Mus musculus: one gene and its partners. The protein of the gene in region 1 interacts with the protein of each later gene in a pairwise test. Links are inferred from orthologs where the notes say so. Each region holds a gene or a part of one and is shown in the gene's direction. Other genes may lie near its edges.

Region 1 (5,265 bases):
CTCTGTTTCCACATTTAACTAACTACATTGCCTTTGTGTTTGTACACAGTACTTATTGGTATTTATGACTAACTTGGAGCACTGTAAAATCCAAGTGTCCTTTAGCTATTCTGAATTTTTCTTTATAAGTTATTTAATTTAAATGTATGTATTAGAGGTCATTGGAATTCGAATAAAAAAGCAAATAAATACCCTTAGTAGGTTTTTAAAATTTTTATTATGTATGGGTATTTTGCCTGTATATCTGGATAACTTGCATGCCTGGTACAGGTAGAGGTTTTCAGGTACTCTGAAATTGGAGTTAGAGTGGGTTGTGAATCACCATGTGGGTGCTGGGAATTAAATCTGAGTCTCTTGAAAGAGGAACAAGTATTCACTGCTCAGCCACTTCTGTAGGTCCTGAAAAATCGAAGGGTCAGGTAAATCAAAATGATGCTTGAAACTATTCTGCTAGTTAAATTCAAAATACATTACGTGAGTTGAAATTGCTCTTTAAACTTATCTCTCATGCTTCTTTATTCTGTCCTTGGATGTTTCTTAAACCAGTTACATTAGCCTTAAAGCCATTTGTGTTCAATAGCTAGAAGGAATCTGGATGCATTTGGTTCCATATTATGCCTGTAAAGTATCTGTCTTTGAATTAAAGTATCAGAAAAAAAGTGGATTGGTGGTTTTGTGAGAATGTCTCACAAAAGGGTGACTTTAAACTCCAATGGTTCTTTGCCTTCTGAAATGCTGGGGTGGCAGGTGACCTCTAATACATACATTTATATACTAGTATGGACTAGCTTTTTCTTGGTATTTCTTAGTTTTTTTCTCTGACACGCACACGCACGCACGCACGCACGCACGCACGCACACTTGACTGATAAATTTAAGAACTGTAGTATCCTAGTTAGCTCCTATTCTAAGAAGCAGCAACAATTGAAGTGGTACTTGACACCTAGTATATATTCGTTATATATATTTACTAGTTGTCATTAAGTCATGTGCTATGCAGAGTTGTAGAGTTGGGAATGGCAAAGACTCTTGTCCTGCATTATTAGTTGTTAGGTATCATGAATATAAGTGTATAATTAGGAAAAGAAAATATGAAAGAATTATGTGATCTTTCTTTCCCTGCTTTTTCCTTACCCCTTTCTTTTCTTTATAGGTTGTTGCTTTCTTTTTGCTTAGATTTCTTTTCTTCACCTTAGTTATGAGTGTGGTAATATTTGTCTACTTTGTAGCTAGTGTGTGGTGCGAGACATGCCTGAGATAGAAATGAGTGGTTGAGAGCACTGACTACTCATCCGGAGGACCTGGGTTCAGTTCTTAGCACCCACATAACTTCTAAGAACCAACTGTAATTCCAGTTCTAAGGGAGCCAACATTTTCTCTGACCTTCTCAGGCAGCCACATATGTGGTACACAAATTGGCATGTGAGCATGTATGCACACACACAGTAAAACAAACTCAATATTTTTAAGTTTTCATGTAAATATCCACATACTGTTTGCCTAGTATTTCACTGTAAACACTAATTATTTTGTTTCAGGTGGCACATTTAGAACGAACGGGGCATTATTTAACTGTGAAAGATAACCAGGTGGTCCAGTTGCATCCCTCTACTGTGCTTGATCACAAGCCTGAATGGGTGCTTTATAATGAGTTTGTGCTGACGACAAAGAATTATATCCGGACATGTACAGATATCAAGCCAGAATGGTAAGGAAGCACACTGTCTTCAATTTTGATTTTAGTATTTTGTTGTGGGTAGAATATGCTTAGTAGACATATCCTTGCTCATTGTATAGCTTGAACTTCTCAGCTAGGTGTGTATATTCTTGTACGTGGACCTAGGATTAACATGGTATGATTTGTTTTTTTCTTTTGTTTCTTAAGTCAGTGTTCTGGTGAGAGGACAGTGGGAATATTAGTGTGGGCAGGGAGTTGAGTACCATCAGGAATTTCTTGGTGCCATTTTGTGGTCTCTGTTGGCAGATGTTTGTCTTTTTAATATTTTACTTGGTTTAAGTATTTTGTCTTTATTTATTAAATGTTGAGGGGTTTTTTGACCTATGTAAAGATAAAAATTATATCAAATTATTCCCTAGCATATTAGCTTCTAAAAATTGTAATTAAGACAGGTTGTTCAATTTTTAGCAAAATGGTACCCTTGTGATTTCCCTACCACCACCATTTTTATAAGTTATGGGAATGTCAGCCAAGAGTGGACAGGAAACCATTTATGTTGGTTTGTCTCACTTACTATTTTGCGGCTTCCATCCATTACTGATTTATGGCTTTTGACACTTCAATTGTTTAGAACATTACCCTTTTATTATGTTTTGCCAAGGGAAAACAGTATAGTTTATAAGATATACAGTTTTATATTTGTAGTTCTTAATACTGATAATGAGATGGAGTTATTTGACTATCAAAACCATAACCTTTAAAATACAGGTTTAAGTGTAGGCAAATGAAACACTAAATAGCTTTTGTCTTTTCATATTAATGTAAATAAAGTATTAGAAAAATTAATCCCGATCCTGTTTCCAAGGTGGTAAGTTTACAGAAGGTTTATACTTTTGCTAAGCTGATATTTCTTAAACTGTGTTAATAAAGATATGATTTTAAATCTTTTATCATTGATTTGTATTTGAACATTTGTCGTCATTCAGCAGCAGTATAATTATTAGCAACTCTAGTACTTAAATCTTGATTTCATAACTTTCCCCCTCCCCCATTCTGGACAGGTTGGTGAAAATTGCCCCTCAATATTATGACATGAGCAATTTCCCACAGTGTGAAGCAAAGAGACAGTTGGACCGCATTATTGCCAAACTTCAATCCAAGGAATATTCACAGTACTGAATTCAATGCTTAGAACTGAAGTTATTCAGAGGACAGCTTTAAAAGATGAATGAAGTCAAGTTCAAGTTGTGCTCTTCATGTTGGTTCAATAATGGCCTTTATTTGAAAGCTTTTTAATTTTTCTTTACAGTAAATATTCCATTCTGATTTCATAAATTAAACATTTATGCCTCCCTTTTGTGTTGACACTGTAGCTCATACTGGAAAAGTCGATCAATGTTTTGCAGTTTATTGAAAGTAGTTCTATATATAACAATGTTATAAGCATTTCTTTAGAAATGGTTGAAAATGCTTCTAAAATGTGATTATCGACCATGGTATGCATGATCGTTGTAATTGTTGACATTCCTTTTAGAAGTTGTGAAATGTTACAACTTGTGCTTCTGTAGACACAATCTTCTGTCTCCATACAGAGGCACTGACTTCAATAAAGTCTATTTATACTAATCTTGGCCCAAGTCCTTCTGTATCTTTTATTCTAAGAGTCTCTATAGTGAGTGGCTGCTTTTCTTTTTTCATTGTAATTATACTGTTACTACGTATTTAGCGTTTTTTAAAAGGAGTACTCCTTAGGTACAGTAGCCATTAAACCTGGGTTTTAAAGAGCATAAATGTAGCACTTTCTTAGGTTAATCAGTATGTAATCTAATGGGATAACGTGTGTAATATTTTTTTTTGAAATTGGATCCCCAGAGACAGAATAATGGAAGAATGGCTTTGTCCTCATTCTTAAAGCTCATTTCATAAGGCTGATAGTTTATTACCTTATTAAATGCGTTGTGTCAGGTCTTACTGTACTGAGGCGAACAGTTTAATCACTCTAGCCCCTAGCATGTGTTTGTATTGGATAGGAGGGAACAGTGTTCTGGATCACCGTCAGTTTTTACTAAGTATTGACTGTTGGCAGCTTTTATAATGTAATTTGTATAGTGTGTTAAAATGAGAAGTTGAGCTTCCTATCAACAGGCAGGAGACAAACTAAAATCCTTCCGGAACCAAAAGGAGCTGTTGATGTGGCCAGTCAAAAGTACTGCAATAATTTGTCTTTCACTTACAGGCTAAATAGTTACTAAATTTGGATGTGCCTTTCTCTTGTTAATTTGCTTTGCTTTGCTTTGTTTTAAAGTCTTGGTGACCTGCCATTCACTGTAGACTAGATTGGCCTCAGAAATCACTGATTCTCCTATCTCTGCCTCATTTTTTATAATATGAAAGGAAAATGTATAGTTGTGATCTGATGACGTGTCAGTTTCAGGTGATTTGAATACTTTTAGTGCACCTCTTATATGGTGCCTAGTGGTTCAGGATATCTAGAAACCACATCAGAGAGATGAGGGGAGAACGGTACTGACTCATTGACCCCGACAGTAAGAGAAAGAAAGTTAAATTGTTTCTGTCTTGTTTAACTCTATTTTAAGAGAAGATTAGAACTGTATTATTAGAGACTTTCTAGCAGAACCTACCTGGAGGCTATGAAAAGTACTCAGGTGTACCTAACAACCTAGACTTCTAGGGCTGACTCATACACTTCATAGAGAAGCTGATTAGAAGTCCTTCTTTGTTCTGGCTTATCGGCTCATTGCTCATTAATTTCTGTTACTCCTATCATTGTTATCCTACCGTTGGGTCTTGGGGATTGATCTCAGATTGTTGAGTTTGTTGGGACGTGTCTACCTGATGGTGCATTTTACTAGTATAAAATCAGATTTAATCCATATGAGATGTAAAATTGACTGGCTTGGTAGATACTTATTTATACACTGATTATGGTTTGTATATAATACATATTAGAGGACTTGGAGAGGGAGCCTCACTTCAGAATTTTTTTACTGGTTCCATCACAAAAACGTGCATTTTAAGACTTGTGAATACAATGCTTCATAAGCAGCCATTACACAAGGGTATTGCCACCAGTAAGACAAGCATCATCCCAGGCTATGGAAACTTGACTTTTACTTTGAATTGTCTCAGGCCATTTGAACTCAGAATAGCAAAAGTGTTCCTTGGTAGTCTTCTCATTGTTACATAGATAAGATGAACTTAAATCTGAGTGTTTGGCAAGTGTCCTATACTTTATTTTTAAATTACTATGTGTTGGGGGTTTTTCTTCATTAAATTGTTGTAGACTCACTATTTACAATTAACAGATTGTAGGTATTGGAGATGGAATATTGTGGATTGAATCTAGGACATACTCCACCAGATTTATATATCACACCTAGACTAGAGTAGATTGAACCTAGTTAAGAAGTTAGAAATGCAAGAACACATGATAGTCAACTTTAAGGTTTTTGAGGAGGAGGGAGAAAAAAATGTATGAGTGCATTGGCCAAAAGCCAGTGTCAGAAGCCAATCTTCTACACTACTTATTCCCCACCTTACTGTTTTGAGACAGGGTCTCTCACTGG
Region 2 (6,021 bases), on another chromosome or scaffold:
GTAAACCTACAAAATTGATTTTTTTTTTAAAGCTTCAATTTTCTTTTTTTTTTTAATATATTTTTTGAGTGCAGGTGTTTGGTCTGCATATAAGTCTATGTACCACCTGTGACTGTCACTCACAGAGGCCATGAGATCCCCTGGGACTATAGTTACAGATGTTTGTGAGCTGTCATGTGGGTGCTAAGTAGGTTATAAAGAGCCCCAGGTCCTTTGGAAGAGCAGCTGGTGCTCTTAACTGTTCTCTTCTGCCCCACAAAAACAAAATCTCAACTATTACATGTGTGTGTGTGTGTGTGTGTGTGTGTGTGTGTGTGTGTTAATTCCTTTTCCCTATTTATTATTTCCTATAGTGTTTACTATGAATAACAAGATTGTATTTTTTTGATGTACAGATTTTATTTTTTTTTCAACAGGAATTGTATTATAAAATGTCATGTCAAACTTTTAATCAACCCACACATGGTGTTGCTATCTGATTTCTTTATGTTTATCTGCCACAAGCTGGTACTTTATTCCAGGCTTGCATTTTCAAGCTTTCAGAATTTTTAAAATTTTTTAAATTTTTATTATTTATTTATTTATTTGGCTTTTCGAGACAGGGTTTCTCTGTATAGCTCTGGCTGTCCTGGAACTCACTCTGTAGACCAGGCTGGCCTCGAACTCAGAAATCCCCCTGCCTCTGCCTCCCGAGTGCTGGGATTAAAGGCGTGTGCCACCACGCCTGGCACTTTCAGAATTATTTGAACACTTTCTTGTAAATCAGATTATAATGTTGGTGTGTTCACTTGTGTAAGGTCCACCTCCACAGTTTTATGATGGCTATTCCTGGTTTTCAACTCGACTACATCTGGAATGAACTACAATCCAGAAATGGAGGGCACACAGGATCTTGAGGCTGGAAGACACAGGCTGCTGACCCAGATCTTGACATGGAGATCATGAGACAGCCCAGGCAAGGTAGTGCACAACTTTAATCCCAGGACACTGAGGCAAGCAGTTCTCTGAGTTCAAGGCCAGCCTGGGACAAAGCAAGTTCCGGATCCAGGTGTGGAACTTGAGGACATAAAGACATTGGGAGAAAGAAGATTGACTCACTCCTCGTCACCTTCTTGCACTTACTTGACAGCATCTCTGTTGGAACCGATTTCTTCAGATTGTAGCTTAGACAGAAGACCAGATGAAACAACCTACTTCGTGGGACAGAGCAACTACTAGATTCTTGGGTTTCCCATTCACAGCTGCCCATTGTCAGGTTAGTTGGACTGCAGAGTGTAAATCATTGCAATAAATTCATTTAATATATATAGACAGTCTATAGGTCCTCTGACTATAGAGAACCCTGACTGATACATTTTTCAGCTTGAATTCACCACCACCACCACCCTTTGCGGGGGGGGGGGGGGGTTGTTGTTATTGTTGCTGTTTTTCAAAATAGGGTTTCTGTGTAGTCCTGGCTGTCCTGGAACTCACTATATAGACCAGGCAGGCTTTGAACTCAGAAATCTCTGTCTCTGCCTCTCAAGGGCTGAGATTAAAGGCATGGGTCACAACTGTCCAGCTATAGCTTGAAATAATTTTTACATGCAACCAAAAATATGGGGAAAACATATTTACACAAAGCCCTGGTTTCTCTGACCTTTCTTTTGCCATTTGCTGCATTTTTATTCCAAGCGAGCAAGGTTTATAGTGTTTACATTCTTTCTCTGAAGACCTAGCTCAGTGTGTGTTTTTAATGCTATTAGATTCTGCAACATCTCGCCTGCAAATTTATTTCCACCATTTAGTATATAAGGGAATAGTTGGGAGTGAATACCTGGAGCCTAGTAGGGGATTCGGCTCCTACTCCAAGGTCAGAAGGCACATGAATCTCGAAACCTTGTGCCAATGGCGCCATCTCTTGGCCGGCAGAGAGGAGATGCAATGTAGTCCTCCCGTCAGCAGGGTGCAGTGCGAGCCGGAGAGTGCAGCTTTGCTTCCGCGAGTCACACGCAGGCGCAGACGTGGACTCCCGGCAGCCTCCGCTCTCTTACCCCGCGCGGTGCATCCCTTTGCGGACTCCGTGGAGGCTCGGCGCTGCGGCGGACTCCGGCGGTGGGCGGGCTTCCGCGCAGGGCGGCCGGGCTCCGCGCTGCCGCCGCCGTGGCCCATGGGCACAATCGTCTCGGAAGGCCGGGTGAGTGGCGCCGCGGCGGCCCTGGCAGGCGGTCTGATCCGGAACGTAGACTCGGGTGTGCGCGCCTTCACGGATGCGCTGGACGCGAGGCCGCGGCTCTAGGCCGCGCCGTGAGGGGCGCGGGGATGCGGGCGGGGCACCCCGAGCTGCCCGGGGGGTTCCCAGCCCTCCACGTTGGGCTCCTTCAGCCTGCCACGTTCCACCGGGCCACCTAGATCCCCCCTTCACCAGTCCCGATCCTCTTGACAGTGAAGAAAGTACCTTTCTCCTCTTCATGGCCCATGCCCAGACCAAGTTGTTGGGTCGCAAGACCGCAGTAACCCAGACTGCGTCGGGCCTCAGGAATGGAGAAGCCAAAACACAAACCCCAAAACTTGTTTCCTTCCAGAGCACCTGAAGTGAAGGTTGAGGCCGTTGTCTCACCGGGACAGAGAGTGTCTGTTGTAACCCCCGGCATGCTCAGGCCTGCGCTAAGGGGAGTTTTAGCGTTCATGTCCCTCCGCTAGCTTTCGAGCTTCTTCTGCTTGGACCAGTTGTGCTCTGAATGAGTGCTGCAAGCTCAGTAAGGTGCTTCTCCAGGGGTTAGATCTCTAAGAAGCTCGTTGGAAAACCCAGGCCTGGATTGATCCGAAGAACCAGATTACAAGCTGGAAAGACCTGGAAGAGGAGTTTTATTACAAGTGGAAAGGCTGCACCTATGAGGAAGAGGGAAAGCAAGAGCAGAGAAGCGCTGTAGAGTATTCTGCAGTTTAAGGCTGTGACAGAGGATGAAGAGGGACTTAGAAGGGTGATCAGTCAGACCTTCCTTTGAGAAGTCAGGAAGGGGGGACCATTGACATAAGTTCTTGTTATAATTCTGCTTGTTCTGGGAATAGGTGAGGCCTGTCTCTCTGCAACAGGTGGCTCTTTTAAATCATGGGGACACATTTATACTGGGCTGAGCTGTAAACATTTCGAGATAACAAATTTTAGTAAATATGAGTAATGGAGCCCAGGGTGGCAATATGTCTGGAATTCCAGTGCTTGGAAGGTGCAGGCAGGAGATTAAGAGTTCCGAGGACAAGCCACACGTGGAAATCACATGTGTGATTTCCTACAGGCGTCATTTTTCTCCTACCATATGGGTTCTTGTTGACCCCCTGATTTGTTATTATGTACCTCCTCCCCCCCACCACCTGTCCCCCGCATAAATTTTTCACACATCTTTCCAACAGGGAAGAGTTCCCTCTAGTAGGTCATTCTACAAGTCTTTCAGAACAGTAGAGAAATCTGCTGCGCTGTTTGCTTTAGTTACTCTGGTTAGTTTGTTTTTAACAGTCCCTGGCCAATGGTATCTTGGTAATACGGATGGGAAATGTGAACTATCAGAGATGGCATAGCTACACACGGAAGGGTATAAATGATTCGGTAAAACATCATTAAGTCCTGAGTATAAGATATGATTGTGGTGTGGATCAAGCTAACAGAGGTAGACTTTTAGACTTGTGATGGTTACTCTTGGTTAGCTACATCTGGAATCTACTAAAACCCAATGGCTGGCCACACCTGTGAGGGATTTTTATTTATTTATGGACAGGGTTTCACCTGTGAGGGATTTTATTTATTTATGGACAGGGTTTCTTTTTGTAACAGCCCTGGCCCTCCTGGGACTCATCGATGGTTCTGAGCCACCATTACAGGTGGTTGTTGGAAACTGAACTCAGGACCTCTGGAAGAGCAACCAGTACTCCTACCCACTGAGCCATCTCTTTGGCACCTGGAACTTTATAGTTAATAATGCCCCACATAGAGAGCTTCCGTCTTACTCCATTATCAGTTCTATAACTGAAGGATTTGACTCATAAGTCAGTTCACCATAGTCTTTTAGATTGAGAATTAATTCTAGGCTGGACATAGTGGCATATCCCAGCACTCAAGAGGTGTAGGAAAGAGTCACAAGTTCAAAGCCAACCTCGTCTTTGTGATAAGTTCAAGGCCAGCCTGAGCTACATGAGAGCCCTGAGGACTTTTGTTTGTTTGTTTTTTCTTTTTTAGTTTTTTGAGAGGGTTTCTCTGTATAGTTCTGACTGTCCTGGAACTCACTTTGTAGACCAGGCTGGCCTCAGAAATCCGCCTGCCTCTGCCTCCCAAGTGCTGGGTTTAAAGGCGCGTGCCACCACGCCAGGCTGAGGACTGTTTTTAAACTAGTGCCTAAGTATAGTTTTGCAGATTAGAAAGAACCCTGCATTTGTGACAGGAGGGTCCATGGTGCAGCTGTTTTAACACAGAGACATTCATAACTTGCTTCTGCTTTGCATCTTTTAATCTCTGTCCCTGCTTGTCTTTCAGCATTAAACCAAAAAGATGTCCCTATATGATGACCTGGGAGTGGAGACCAGTGACTCAAAAACTGAAGGCTGGTCCAAAAACTTCAAGCTCCTGCAGTCCCAGCTCCAGGTGAAGAAGGCGGCGCTCACTCAGGCCAAGGTAAGAACAGGCCCAGGGCAGGAGAGGGCAAGTCCGCTGAGTTCCTTTAAGCTTGCTCTTTGCCCCCTTGCTGGATACGTAGAAAAGAGTGGGTGGGCGAGGGGTGGAGAGCTGATTGCCTCTCCTGGCTCTTGGAAACAGCAGGACCATTCATGGAGTGGGAATTAAAAAAAGCCATGAGACTGGCTTTAGACTGGAGCATGCCTGAGACTGACTGCAAACTGTTTACAGATGCTGTTTTCATACCCCTAGTCCTAATAGTCTGGGACTTCTGGCCTAGGCTGGGTCCCAGCTAGTTTATTGTAAGAAGTTTGGAATTGAGCTTTGCAGAATAATCAGAGCCACCCCAACATGCATACAAACATATATACATACATGTTAAGTAAATTTTATTTGGTTGGGTTAATAATCGTGTACACTATGAAAGGCTCTGATGTTTGTGAACATACCCAGGATATATAGTTATAGGTGGGAATTGCTGTGTTGTATACCTGTTAGACTTGGCATTGTCTTGGAGACAGTGCAGCTTTTTCTTTTTCTTTGTTTCTGTTTGTTTTCAACATAAGATTTCAGTATGTGGCTTTGAACTGTCTGTGTCGACCAAGGTGGCCCCAGTTTCACAGAGGTCTGCCTGTCTCTGCCTACCAAGTGCTGGGAATATCACCCCACCCAACTATGCGTATATTTTAATGTCAGCTATTAGCAAATATCTTGAGATTGCAAATAGATTTTGTGGGGGTGGGGTTGTTGAGACAGGGTTTCTCTGTTTAGCCCTGGCTGTCCTGGAACTCACTTTGTAGACCAGGGTGGCCTCGAACTCAGAAATCTGCCTGCCTCTGCCTCTGAAGTGCTGGGATAAAAGGCGTGTGCCACCACGCCTGGCCAGCAAGTAGATTTTAATTTGTCAAAATGGACCATTACTTTAGAATTCATCTGCTAACCTTCTGACCTGAATCTTGAGGCTTCTCTATGTGGTTGATTCTTATGAGGAAGTGAAGTTGCACTGTATTGGTTCTCTTGGGCTCTTCAGTGCCTTTCTCAGAGTACTAGCCACGCTTGTAAAAATACTTGGTAGAGAAAATGTACCTGTATCTGAAAGGTGAAGGTATGGTTTCATTTGTATTTCATTTTTGAAACTACAAATTAAATTTTAAAATGAGCAAATAAGTGATTGTCATAACCCTACTGTGGGAAGTTAGGGTTTATATTGTGATTTTTTTTTTTTTTTATGATTCCTGGATGATATGTTGTTTGCTTAAAGCACCGTTAAAGTCCAGAGAGCTCAGACTTCCTGATAAGAGTGAAAGTTTGTACCCTTTAAATACTGAGAATTTAAACTTTCATGACAACCTCTAGTCCACACGGATGGCCATGGCATC
Region 3 (6,021 bases), on another chromosome or scaffold:
CATCTGAGTTAATGCTGAAATGCTCAGCTGTGCTAAAGCAGGCATGGAAGAACCACATTGATCTCAGCAGGGAAAGGAGTCTCTCTGACCTGTGGGTGTTGGTAACTGTTAAGGTAAAGCACACCTCCATTGTAGGTTCACTAATTAAAGACTCAGAAGCTCTTTGACCACCTCAAGGCTATAGGGAAAACAAAGTCCTACAATTGCCTCAAAGCAAAGATGTCTTTCACTTTTTTTCTATAGCAGTAGTTCCAATACTGGGACAAAACATTTAATCGTTTATTTTTTTGCCACATAATCAGAGAGGTGATTGGTTGGGTTGGTTTTAAAAGACTCATGAAAGTGATTATGTCACTGGGTTAGGTTGGTTTTTTCGAGACAGGGTTTCTCTGTGTAGCCCTGGCTGTCCTGGAACTCACTTTGTAGACCAGGCTGGCCTCAAACTCAGAAATCCGCCTGCCTCTGCCTCCCAAGTGCTGGGATTAAAGGCGTGCGCCACTGCGCCCGGCTTACTATTTTTATTTGTCTCTGCGTGTAGTTTAGGTGCATTTAGGGCCAGAAGACGGCATGGGATCCCTGGAGGTGGTATTATATAGGCTTGTGTGCTACCTGATACGAGTGCTGGGAACCAAATTTGGATTCCCTGATAGAGCAGCAAGCACTCCATCTCCAGCTTTTAAGTTTTTAAAATGAAAGACTTAAGATTATTTTATTAAAACTTTGTTCAATAATATATTTGCTTTTTTGTGTTGCTTAAATTAGAACAATTTCCATTGTCTTTGGTACATCGACTACCAGATAGCCTAGGATATATAGTCCATCTACTCACAAAAACAATTCTACTCAACAGACAGACACAATTGAGAGGATGCCATTCATCCCTGGATGGAATCTGTCTAGGGATAGGGGAGTAGCTTTTGAGTTTAAAATTGAATTGGCAGCATGGTGGCTCACCTTTAATCCCAGCAACCAGTGAGTGAGTTCTTTATATCACCCTGGCTTTCCTGGAACTCACCTTTTTAGACCAGGCTGGCCTTGAACTCAGAGATCCAATTACCTCTGGGATTATAGGCATGGATCACCACACCCTGCTATAAGTGGTTTCTATGATCTGCAGACAAATGTATATTTTCTGCGGTTAAGTGTGTTATATATACTCAACCATAATTGGGCATATCTTAACATTTACATAATTGTATACTGAGAATACATAGATACAAAAGAAAGATGTTGAGTATGTGTTCCTTCAGCTGTGTTATCAGGCATTTCTAGCCAGTTTCAGTCACCCTAATTCCTGCACACCGTTATTCTTATCAGACTTGTAATCCCAGAAGGAGGTGAAAACTGGAGGGTCAGAAACAGTCCCACACTAAGGAGATGGATCTTGGTCAGTCTACATTGTGAATTCCAGGCTAACCAGAACTATAGAGACCCTTTCTAAAGAAAACAAAAGGGAGGGAAGGGAAGAAAAATTAAAAAAAAAAATGAGGGAAATCTGCTCCCTAATAACTACATATGCAGAGGACAAGTTATGGCAACTGGATGACAATATCTCCACAAAAAGCAGAGAGAGGGGGGGGGGGAACCTCTAGGGTTTTGTCTGTTTTGTTGGATTTTTTTTTTTAATGTGTAGTTGGGTGATGATTTGGTTTGAATTTGGGCTGCTTTGCATTTACTTATTGTTGGTGTATTTGAACACACATCCATGTTTGCCACATCAGAAGACTACTCTCATGCGTGGTTCTCTTTCCATCCTGTGAATTGCAGGGATGGAACTCAGGGTTTTAGGCTTGGCAGTAAGCCTTACCTGATGAGGCTATCTCACAGGCTTGGTTTTATTGTTGTTTTGTTTGCTTGTGGCAGGGTCTTACAACAAAATATCCCTATTGTTCTGGAGTTCATATTCTAGTGCTGGCATGGCTTCTGAAAACAAGCTAGTTCAGTTTCCAGTTTACCGAATTATTAGCTCTGTATGTTTGTAAAACGACTAGGGAAGTAATCCGTAGTATGCCTTCTCTACGAACTGGATTATACGTTTTACAGTGTGTCAAGCGCTGGTAAAGTTCACATCCGGGTTCTCAGAAGCTGAATGGCAGCTTTGTCATGGAGCAGATGAAATACGCAAAAAAATTAACGCAGGGTATAGTGACAGGCTGCCTGGGCGACCACACTTCCCGGCAGCCCTCGCGCAGACCGGCACCCTCGCTGATTGGACGCCTCTGGAGAGGCGGGTAGGATGGGAGGTGGGGGAAGGTCGACGCGCGAGGGACTGTGGGTAGGAGAAGACGGTCGGTGGAGACGCCATTTTGTGGAGCGGCCGAACCTTGTAGGAGGTTCTGGGGCGCAGAGCCGCTACTGCTCCTGCTTTGTTCCCTCTGTGGGGGTGAGTGCGGCTGCCGTCCATTACACCCCAGTGATTTTGCAATTGGTGCTGTCCCTTAAGTCTGCCTGTCAGCCGCCAGAGGTGACCGCTCAGCCGAGTCTTTGAAGAGACTAAACTAAGCAAGCGCTTGAGGGCCGCGCCCCTCCTCGCCTCTGGCTCTGCTGGCTTTCATAGGTTGCCCCCTAGCCCGGTCCTCGACCCGCCTCTTTGGAGTTGTTTGTCTCTTGCTGGGACGTTGTCCCGAATCCCCTGTCGTGCGGAGCTGTGGAGCGCCTGGCAGTCTCTTAAGCCATCATCGCCCTGAGTCTCCAACTGAATCTCGCTGTGCGAAAGGTGGTTGGGAATGGGTGTGGGGAGGGATGGATGGAAGATAAGAAAGATGGACTGAATGCCGGATTCAGTTGCGCCGCCATCTCGGCTGCGATACCCCGCGGAGGTGGGCATGGGCAACCTCCCTGGGAGGTGGGTGCGGGCATCTCGGGCGAAAACAAGGGACAGCCGTAGCCGTTCGACCCCGGAACTTGACCCACTAGATGTCTCTTATTTTTTAAGTCAACGAATGTTTGTTAAGTGCTTGCTTTAAAAGACCAGATTCTAGAAATGGCAGTAACTATAGTTTCTGGGACATCACAGGCATCATAGCTGTGTGATGTTTTATTACGGCCAATCGGCCGGGGAAAGGCTGTGGGTCACTCGGTGGCCTGTTGTCGATCAGGGCTGGTCCAAGACATAGGTGTTATTGATACACAGATATTAAGCCGAGTCAAGGTTTGGTCTTGTCTTACTGAAATAAATTGAGATCAGGCGATGTGTTATATATGTAAATTTCAATCAGATCAGCATTCCAGCTTCTAAGTTTTTGTCAGAAAAATTTGAGATCGTGTTACAATTTTAGTGTTGAATTTTATATTAACGAAGACAGTTGGATGAATGCTTTAATCATTGTCCATCTCAATAAATAGCGTTGCTTTGGTTATGAAAATCAGGAGCTTTTTGCTTTGTAATTGTAGTGGGAGTGTCCAAGGTGTCTAAAGCCTTCACCCTTCTTGAGTTTCTTATTGAATATATGATCTTAATATGTTAAAGTGACCTTCATCTTCCTGCTTCTTAACACAATTATGACTTAGTGTTGACAGCCTCCTTTTCCTTCCTCTTTTTAGTCATTGTTAAGTATTAGCCACAGTTTCTATCCCAGTTTGTAGGGTTCTTGAATTAAGTGATCTCTGAAATTTGCAATTTTTCTCTTTCCCACCCCTAGGGGAAAATTTAAGCCTTTTGAAGCAGTGTGCTAGCTCTTCCGTGAGACGATGGGTTCAGACAAAAGGTGAGTTTCAATACATGACATGCCTTTGATCTCAACAGCTTAGTTGGGACTGAAATATTTGTTTAAAATTGTTTATTCAGCCCTGTGTGGTGATGGCAGCTTACAGGTTTTAATCCCCGCAGAGACAGGCAAATCTCACTGAGTTCAAGGCCAGCCAGGGCTACATAGAGAAGGCCTGTCTCAAAAAAGGAAAAACAAAAACAAAACAAAGCAACAACAGTAATAAATTATTTATTTTGCAAATGAATATTTAAATGTCTATTGTGTTTCAAGTGTTCCAAATGACTACTTTCATGATTCTGTTCTCACAAGCTTCAGTCTAGTGAGAGTTAACAGTTAGGATAAAAAATGTAAAGTACTGTCTGGACACATGAGGAGAAAGGGAAGTGTCTTGGGGAAAGTATTGTCGGAGGTGCAGTCCAAAGGCTAAGAACTAGGTTAAGGAAAGCAGTGTGGAGTAGGCCATGGAAAGTTCCAGCTGTGGGCAGGAGCTATTCAAAGCCTGCTTGAGAAGCAGTGAGTGAGTGCCAATCCTTGTTATTCCCTAGTGATAGATACAGTGGCCTGGGAGGCTCAAAGCTGAGCAGCCTAGGAGCGTGGCTTACATCAAGACGATCGAGAAAGGGAAAAGCTAGTTAACATAGAACAGATTAGGACTGGGATACAGCTCGCCTGTCAGTGGTTTATGAGGCATGAGTATCAATCCCCAGTAGGTCCAGATACATTAAACAAACAAAGGTGAAAACTGTTGGCTGTTTCAGCAACTGTGGATATGGAGACCTCAAATCATTTGACTTAACATAGCCTTCACATGATCTTATTATTGACAGGCCAGTTCTTGTGATAGATAAAATTGACATCCAAGAAAGACTTATTTATGTCATAGGATATCATGTAGTCCTGTGACAGACTATTGCTCCAAATAACGTACGTAATTAAAATGTACCCTTTTGCAAATGTACCTTTTTGCCCATGGCTAAAAAAAAATGTTATATGGAATAAATGTTTTCTGAGCCTGTCAGTTTGAAGTAATCATCCACTTCTGTGTACAGATGAACCACTTGGTTAACAGGTTGACTGGCAGTGGTTGGAGGGAAGACATAGGTCGTCTAGAGCATTGGTCCATTTCTGGTTTGTGTGGCGCCCTTGAGAGTCTAAGTTGTTAAGATTAACTCTTCCATGCTGGCAGTGGTTGCTCTCAACTTTGGTCCCTGCACTCATGAGGCAGAGGCAGGCAGATCTCTTGAGTTCAAGACCAACATGGTCTACAAAGTGAGTTCCAGGACAGCTAGGGCTACACAGAGAAACCCTGTTTGAAAAACCAAAAAGGAAAAGGAAAAAAAAAACATTTACTCTGAAATTGGATGAGATTTAAGTAACTACTTTCTTGCTGTCTTTGGTCAGTATTATCTGAAATGGAAATAAAGGAATAATATATCAACCATAGGCTTAAGAAAACACTAAGAATAAACTTTGAGAATATGTTCCCTTCTCAAAAACTTTAATCCAAATAACTAATAGTTATATTTTCTGACTTTCTGTCAATTCCTTAAAATTGTGTGTGTGTATGTTTTCTCTCTCCTTTTCTTGAGACCTGGGTGGTCTAAAGCTCTAGAGATCACCCTCCTGCCTTTGCCTCCTCGGATTACAGGCATGCATCACCACAACTTGCCTAAGAATGTTCTTTCAGTAGATATCTTTGTAAACTAAACATGGGTGGTATGTTTTAAGGGATACATTAAACTATTTGGATGTATCTTATAAACTGATATGTGAGGCGATTTTTTTTTTCTGACTGTATGAAACTATATACTTACATGATGTACTTAAATGAACATTATTTTTCTCGCAGAGTGAGTAGAACAGAACGTAGTGGAAGATATGGTTCCATCATAGATAGGGATGACCGTGATGAGCGTGAATCTAGAAGCAGGCGGCGGGACTCAGATTACAAAAGATCAAGCGATGATCGGAGAGGTGATAGATATGATGACTATCGGGACTATGATAGTCCAGAGGTGAGTAATAGCTATTGTCAATAAAAATTATATAAAGAAGTGTGGTGACTAGAAAATTACACTGATCACTCAGAAGCATACTTAAGTTGAATGTAACTTCGAGAGACGAAGTGGGCCTTTAATACAACCAATAGCTAAAGTCTTTGTAAGGGTCCTGTGACATGGACTCCTTTGAGTACTTGAACTTCATGAGCTTCTCTGCATACCAATGCACCCTTATAGAAGATAGGCTGCAAGGAGGACCGTCAACTCTGCCAGGATCTCCTATGTTACCTCTGCTGTCCTGGAACTTACTG

Evidence for each region. The genes of interacting proteins can lie anywhere in the genome.
Region 2: the proteins of Dhx15 (region 1) and Rbm17 interact in binary tests that used the Homo sapiens proteins (3 or more experiments, as listed by UniProt). The link is inferred for Mus musculus from reciprocal best matches to the Homo sapiens genes DHX15 and RBM17.
Region 3: the proteins of Dhx15 (region 1) and Rbm5 interact in binary tests that used the Homo sapiens proteins (3 or more experiments, as listed by UniProt). The link is inferred for Mus musculus from reciprocal best matches to the Homo sapiens genes DHX15 and RBM5.

What each region holds. Positions count from the first base shown.
Region 1 is NC_000071.6:52,148,253-52,153,517, reverse strand, and holds the end of Dhx15 (pre-mRNA-splicing factor ATP-dependent RNA helicase DHX15), read left to right. Parts: exon of another isoform or gene 1-194; intron 195-1,538; coding exon 1,539-1,708; intron 1,709-2,739; coding exon 2,740-2,857; 3' UTR 2,858-3,315; downstream 3,316-5,265.
Region 2 is NC_000068.7:11,599,240-11,605,260, reverse strand, and holds the start of Rbm17 (splicing factor 45), read left to right. Parts: upstream 1-2,061; 5' UTR 2,062-2,176; intron 2,177-4,504; 5' UTR 4,505-4,519; coding exon 4,520-4,642; intron 4,643-6,021. UniProt on the Homo sapiens protein: Splice factor that binds to the single-stranded 3'AG at the exon/intron border and promotes its utilization in the second catalytic step. Involved in the regulation of alternative splicing and the utilization of cryptic splice sites.
Region 3 is NC_000075.6:107,767,247-107,773,267, reverse strand, and holds the start of Rbm5 (RNA-binding protein 5), read left to right. Parts: upstream 1-2,265; 5' UTR 2,266-2,383; exon of another isoform or gene 2,384-2,819; intron 2,820-3,641; 5' UTR 3,642-3,690; coding exon 3,691-3,707; intron 3,708-5,559; coding exon 5,560-5,725; intron 5,726-6,021. UniProt on the Homo sapiens protein: Component of the spliceosome A complex. Binds to ssRNA containing the consensus sequence 5'-AGGUAA-3'. Regulates alternative splicing of a number of mRNAs.